Caenorhabditis elegans: one gene and its partner. The protein of the gene in region 1 interacts with the protein of each later gene in a pairwise test. Each region holds a gene or a part of one and is shown in the gene's direction. Other genes may lie near its edges.

Region 1 (3,754 bases):
TTTAATTTTCCAGAAGGTTCTAGAACAATCCAGAATTTTTTCGAATTTTCCAGAAGGTTCTGGAACATTCCAGAATTTTCTAGAATTTTCCAGAACCTTCTGGATAATTTCAGAATTTTCCCGAAGTTTCCAATTTCCCTTCCAAAGACGGGAAGTCAATTTTTCATAAACTACCGTAATCCTACCGTACTCCTACAGTACTCCTACAGTACTACTACAGTACCCCGACCATATTCCACTACTAACCGCAAACCTATATCTCTTCAAAAGACAAAAACACAATTTTTCATAAACTACAGTAATCCTACCGTACTCCTACAGTACTCCTACAGTACTACTGCAGTACCCCGACCATATCCCACTACTAACCCCCAAACCTATATCTCTTCAAAAGACAAAAGCTCAATTTTTCCTAAACTACAGTAATCCTACAGTACTCCTACAGTACCTCTACAGTACTACTACAGTACCCCGACCATATCCCACCACTAACCCCAAACCTATATCTCTTCAAAAGACAAAAACTCAATTTTTCCTAAACTACAGTAATCCTACAGTACTCCTAAAGTACCTCTACAGTACTACTACAGTACCCCGACCATATCCCACCACTAACCCCAAACCTATATCTCTTCAAAAGACAAAAACTCAATTTTTCCTAAACTACAGTAATCCTACAGTACTCCTACAGTACCTCTACAGTACTACTACAGTACCCCGCCCATATCCCCCTACTAACCCCAAACTAATATCCCTCCAACAGCCGATAACGCCTTGCCTTTGTAAGCTATGACGTCACTTGTTAACAAACGGACACTATTTTTTTATATATAGGTAATGATTATTTATTTTTCTACCCTGAAATTTTATATTTCCCTTCTCGGGTACTTAATTTTCCGAAATTCCAGTAAATCTTTTAGGCTCCAACCCCTACTACAGCTCTCCGAAACCCGGAAAGGGGCGGGGCTTAACTAATTTTTTTCCAGAACAATAAATTACTGGCCTGCTTATCATGTGGTTAAAAATGTCCCAAGCCCCTTTTTTTGGGGTCTCACAGCGAAGAGAGTAAGTGCGCTTCATAGACATGGTGCATCATGACAAACACCGTCACGCCAAATTGCAGACAACATAATTTTGGGATTTAAATTTTAGGATTTTTAGAAATTTTTAGAAACTTGCACCAAAAAATAAAGTATGGTTTGCCATATATCACAGATTTTTCGAGCTAATTAATTCAATAAATTTTCTATAATGACGTCATCTTTTTTTAAAAAAACCTCTTCCACCGTGACCCACTGAACCCTGTAACATCTGTTATGGGGTCCAGCCGATGCATATAAAGATGTCTAATTCTCTCTCAACACGCCTCGTCGAACCGCGACGCGTCACATCAGCGTTTCCCGCGCGTTTGAAATTTTACGCGTCCACCCGTCTTTTTGTTTGGTTGCTCCTGACAACGGATGAATCTCAAAATAAATTGAGTTTCTGATGTTTTTATTTGAAGTAACCAATTTTTACTTCAAAATTAGATTTTCAACCAATTTCTGAATTTAGTCCAATTTTCGCTTGTATTTCACTGACTATCCCCTAAAATTAATAAATTTTCAGTTGCCTTAATGGATTTCCATATTTGTTTAGTCCTAGCCCCTAACTTTCGTCGTAATTTATCAGTAATATAGGTCAATTCACTCCGAGCTTCAGATTTTGGACAAAATTGTGAAGCTTCAGCCCTTTTTGTCCTAGAAAGTTCGAACCTTGTCGGTTTTAAGACCCTTTTTCGAGAAACTAGTTTAAAAATTACTGGAAATTCCCAAATAGTCGATTCTCTAGCTTGGCACAACATTTTCTTGTCAGACCCCCCATTAAAATCGATTTCTAGTCTCAGCTAATCTCCTTCGCTCACCATGCTCAAAATTGACCTAACTTCCCGAATTTATCCCTAATGAGAGACAATATCGACTCAGTCACCGCAACATCTGTTATTGACCCCACACCTGCGTTACTCCTTCCTTTGTCTCTTATATGTTCTCCAATTCCTAATAATTTTAGTTTTAGGAATAAAAAATCAACCATGGCCAGAAAATCCAAAGGAAGCCGCTCATCCACTCGAGCTGTGTCAGTTTTTTTAAATTTGAAATTTCTCCTGTAACCTCCAATTTTCAGAAAGCAAACCGATCATTTCCAAGTTGATGTGAAACTCCAAAGTCGTCCCGATCATGTCAGAGCTCCAAGGGCGAACAATGAGAATGTCAACTATACCCCAGTGAAAGAGGCAAAGATTCAGAAGATTTTGGACCATCAGCTGTATAATACTCACTATGTCGAGTATCAGGTGGAAATGAGCGATGGAACGGAAGAAATGTTGACTGAATTTGATTTTGATGTAAGTTGTTTTTTTTTTAATACGGTGGTAATTAACATTTTTCTTGAAATTTCAGAACAAAAAGACTCAAAAGATGCTCGCAGAGTACAAGTTCAAGGTTACAGAGCTGGAGGATGATGGAAGTAAAGGTAAGAAGCTTGGAAAAGTAGTTGAAAACTTTGAATACAAAAAAATTTACAGAATACGTTGTGGAGAAGATCGTCGCCCATCGTTACCCAAACGATAGGCTGAATCAGCCTTTGTACCTCGTCATGTGGCGCGGGTTCCCCGATCCGGTATCTAACACGGAAATGTGGGGAGAAGAGCTTGAGGTTAGTGATCACAGAGTCTAGTTATCATCGTTTATCTTAATACTTTCAGAACTGTCAAGAGCTTCTCGATGCCTATAATGAAGAGCATGATATTGATCTTTCAAAGACAGTAATGAACAAGCCTCCGAAGAAATCAAAGCACCAAGATACTTCTGACGATTCTGAGGAGTCTGAAGATGAGGAAGAAAAGTCACCCAGGAAAAGATCCTCCAAGAAACGTCGAGCTGCTTCTGTTTCTGATTCCGATTCTGACTCCGACTCCGATTTTGACAAGAAGAAGTGGAAAAAAAATAAGGCCAAGCGATCCAAGCGTGATGACTCTTCTGATGATGACTCCGAAATGGAGAGACGCAGAAAGAAGTCGAAGAAGTCGAAGAAATCTAAGAAGTTCAAGAAATCTGAGAAGAGAAAGCGTGCAGTGAACGATTCTTCATCTGATGATGAAGATGAGGAGGAGAAGCCTGAGAAACGCTCCAAAAAGAGCAAGAAAGCTGTCATAGATTCATCTTCGGAGGATGAAGAAGAGGAAAAGTCCTCCAAAAAGCGTTCCAAAAAGAGCAAGAAAGAGTCCGATGAAGAACAACAAGCTTCTGACAGTGAGGAGGAAGTAGTCGAGGTGAAGAAAAATAGCAAGTCGCCAAAGAAGACTCCTAAGAAGACCGCTGTCAAGGAGGAATCCGAAGAATCTTCTGGCGACGAGGAAGAGGAGGTTGTGAAGAAGAAGAAGTCCTCCAAGATAAACAAGCGAAAAGCAAAGGAGTCCTCGTCTGACGAGGAGGAAGAGGTTGAAGAATCGCCGAAAAAGAAAACAAAGTCCCCAAGGAAGTCTTCCAAAAAATCGGCTGCTAAGGAAGAATCGGAAGAAGAGTCCTCTGACAATGAAGAGGAGGAGGAGGTTGATTATTCCCCGAAAAAGAAGGTCAAGTCTCCAAAAAAGTCCTCCAAGAAGCCAGCCGCGAAGGTGGAATCGGAAGAACCTTCTGACAATGAGGAGGAGGAGGAGGAGGTTGAAGAATCTCCCATAAAGAAGGACAAGACTCCGAGGAAGTATTCCAGGAAA
Region 2 (3,754 bases), on another chromosome or scaffold:
ATGGCAAATAATGCTGAGGCAATAATTGATTTCAGCATTTTTGTGCTGGTTCGGTTTAGTCACTGAAATGGTTACTTAATTGTTGTAAATAGGCGGAATAAGTTACAAGAAAAGAAAAATCAAAACTTTTGAATTCAAAAGCACTACACGTGGAAGGAAAAGAAGGAAGCAACGACCGTCTTGCAAGTGTCTCCTTCCACTCATCTAGTTTATTCCGTTCTCGGTGGCTACCGCCACATCTCCTCTTCAGGTTTTGTTGCCGCGCAGTCCGAAGCCTGAGAGACGCAGATGAGAGACCTTCACCTTTTTATCTGCGCATTGGATCGGTTGTTTTATCAGAGAGATACTTGTTTTTTATTCACCACAAATCAATAAGTTATAGGTAACACAATTGGGAACGATTTAATGACGTGGCAAGATTATGGAAAGAGTGCGGTTTTTTTTTGGTTGGCATAAGTATTGAGATTATCGGGATCTCTGAAAATTAAAACTAGTTAGGTTTTTTGGGAAAATGAAATTTCTCACTTTGGAATTCAAATTGACTCGTTCTGTAAAACTTGTGTAGATGAGATTTCCAACTACCAAAAGTATCAATGATAACGATATGAAAATAACAAATCCGGCGGAGACACGGATCATAAGAGCAGCATAGTCGTATGGTTTCTCGATCTGAAAATCGGAAACTTTTTTTCCTAGTTGAACAATGCCTCTTTTTTGAGAAGGTAATTTTCAAATATTATATAACCAACAAAATTAACACTGTGGTTACGGTAGTATTTACAAAGTTACTGTAGACGTCGCAACGAGATATTCATTGTGCCAAATATGCTGCACAGTTCGTATAATTTCTGGCGGTTGCGTAATATATCGCAATTTTTAATCTCCTAAACTTCTCACTTGAAGGTACACGAATTCATTCATATAGGTCTCACCGCGAGGAAAATAGATCGTATTTTTTTATAATGAATATTAAAGATTTATTTATAACTCATAAATAAGAGAAAACTAGATTATTTCTTCAAATATAATAGGACTCACCTGCATTTTGGACAGATTTACTTTTGGAAAAAGATGGCGTGCTCTGTAACGACCCACTAATCGTGGAGAAAGTAAAGTGAATTTCGAAACGACGCGACGAGAGAACGTATCATGAGCGAGAAGCCGGGCAGTGTGCTTGAGAAGAGTTTGTCGAGAGCATCTTGTGCCCAGACCCAGCGCGGGAGAAAGAAAAGAGAAAGCGGTGGGAGAGGTTTTGTATTGATTTGCGGACATATAACAGATGGGGGTGGAGCTCTTGGAGTCATTTGTCAAGCTAACTTCGATCATCATTCGTCAAATTAATTTATTGGAACACAATATAATGAATGAAAGGAAAGAGTGAATTGGAAGCGTGTCGATTTACGGAGCTCGTGTACTCCCCGAGGAAAACAGTGAATTTTTGTTTTTCAAAAAAATATATAGTTCTTTGTGAAACGATTTTCGCGAATTCTTTTGTCAGTTAATTTTGAAATCGCTAATTTGTTCAATATTTTTATAGTATTCCAAATAAAATTCGCATTATTTACTGTTGTAAATCTACGAATTCTCGTTTTCTGTGGTTTTGAGTAGTAAATTAATAGATTATCCTCGAAAAAACTCGACGAAAATACACAAAATATGAGATATTATTGACGATTTAATAATCCAGAAATTTGAAAACTTGCAGGGTTATAAACCAGGAGTGCTTTTCGAACATTTTCGAGAAGTTTGCATAAATTTGCATCAGATAATACCTTTTTTCTAATTAAAAATATTTTATTCAAAATTTCAAACAACACCGTGCTAATGTGCTCTAGTGGAAAAAATCGTATTAATTTCGAAACTTTTCATATTTCTTTCTCACTTCTTCCATTGCTGCTTTTCACTTTTCTTGATAGTTCTCTTTTTTTTTGTTGAAAAAAATCTTATTTTTAAATCTTTTCAGCATGTTTTCCAATTCTTCTATGTTCTCTGATTAAAAAGCGCCGAAAAATCGATAATTTTTCTATAAAACCCATCTTCCCTTGAGAACAGTTCTTCCCCTCTAAAACGCGCATAAAACCAGCGTCTTTTACCACCTCTTCACGTTATTTTTTGCTTATTTTTAGTACTCCCTAATATTCACTACAATTACAGATGGCGAACGCTAACCTGACTCCGATGCCGTTTGTGCGAAAATTCGGATCTACCAGTACAACTGTAACTACCACAACTGACACAGATAGCCCATTATCAAAAGATGATGAGTCAGGTAAGTAATCTTAAATTTTCAAAAATTAAATTACTATGGATTTATTCGCAAAAAAAATGTTTCCGAACAAAAAACAATTTAGGGGACGAAAAAAGCGAAAAAAAACTTTTTTGAAAACGACTCCAAAAAAGAAACTTGGTTTTTTGGAAAAAAAGTATTTATAAATTTTTCAAAAAAAAAACTCAAAATCTACTTTCAGGTAAAAAACCTTCACTTGCTTCCCTAGCACAGTCAGCGTTCCCATCAAGATACGACCCGAACGCCTTTGTAGGTACGGTAGTTCATAGGAAATTAAAATCACATAATTTGTTTAATTTCAGATATATCAGGTGCCGCAATATCTGCCCCCGCAGTCACGGGAGCATGCAAAAGATGTGGATATCCGGGTCATCTATACTTCCAGTGTCGAAATCACATTGAAGTACGTCCAAATGTATCGACAAAAGCGTACGAGGTCAGTTCGACATCATCTGAATCAAGTGACGACGAGACTCCGCTCATTGCTTTGGAAAAGCAGCGGAAAAAGGAGAAAAAGCTGAAAAAGAAGGCGAAAAAAGAAAAGAAGAAGGCGAAGAAACTCGAGAAAAAGGAGAGAAAGAAGGAACGGAAAGAGAAGAGAAGGCGACGAGATGATTCTGATGATAGTAGTGATTCTGATGAGGAAGAGGATAGAAAAAGGAAGAAGAGCAAGGAAAGTAAAAAGGAAAAAAGAAAACGCCGTCATTCTTCCTCAGATGATAGATCAGCTTCTTCCGATTCTGATGATGACTGTCGTGACTCGAAACGTCACCGTAGATCATAATCGTGTAATATTGATATTTTAACTCTAAATTTTTATTCCGACAGTAACCACCTCCACATTAATATTTTCTCTATTCAAATTTCTATTGTTTCTCTTGTGTCAAAAAGTCCCCATAGTGAAGTTACTAATTAAATTAAAAACAAAAAATTTTATAACTTATTTCGACTTCACTTTAATCAAAAATTTGAGATCTTTATTGAATTTCTGTGACTTGTATTTGTTCCAAATGATCTGTTATTTTTTTTCTTCTTGTTTTTCAATTACGAATAAATTGTATTTCATTCGTCTTCCTCGCTTCGTTTTGGCGTTAGCTCGGCTGACACTGAAATTTGATGAACTTTTTAAAAGTATTCAAATTAAAATATCTGCACCTTCAGCATAAACTTCTGGATACTTTGACGACAAAACTGTTTTGAACATGCGAATTTTTTTGAAAATAAATTCCAAATCAGTTTTCATCTGCAGAATTGTCTCTTTGTGTCCCACAGAATCCCTTTTTGCTTTTTCAATTCTTCGATCGCCGAGTTGAGCGCAATTCATGAGCATTTCATTTGTCTTTTCGAAGCGTTTCAAGCTGAAAAAAAAAGAAAAATCAATAAATTCTAAATTCTCCAGTATATTACCTCTGTCTCTGAGTATCAATTATGCTTTGAATTGTGAATTCGTCGATTTGAGAAGTGAGC

What was found. Proteins that work in one complex are often made in the same cells at the same time.
Region 2: the proteins of cec-8 (region 1) and C13F10.7 interact in a two-hybrid assay, tested with the Caenorhabditis elegans proteins (one large-scale study listed by BioGRID).

The regions. Positions count from the first base shown.
Region 1 is NC_003281.10:427,283-431,036, forward strand, and holds the start of cec-8 (Chromo domain-containing protein), read left to right. Parts: upstream 1-2,055; 5' UTR 2,056-2,071; coding exon 2,072-2,115; intron 2,116-2,163; coding exon 2,164-2,383; intron 2,384-2,438; coding exon 2,439-2,511; intron 2,512-2,563; coding exon 2,564-2,694; intron 2,695-2,743; coding exon 2,744-3,754.
Region 2 is NC_003283.11:7,221,653-7,225,406, reverse strand, and holds C13F10.7 (CCHC-type domain-containing protein), read left to right. Parts: upstream 1-2,154; coding exon 2,155-2,269; intron 2,270-2,468; coding exon 2,469-2,540; intron 2,541-2,589; coding exon 2,590-3,071; 3' UTR 3,072-3,349; downstream 3,350-3,754. Other genes in the region: fkb-3 (peptidylprolyl isomerase), read right to left, coding at 1-38; C13F10.1 (50S ribosomal protein L6), read right to left, coding at 466-477, 526-669, 1,039-1,329; kxd-1 (KxDL domain-containing protein), read right to left, coding at 3,350-3,393, 3,443-3,645, 3,695-3,754.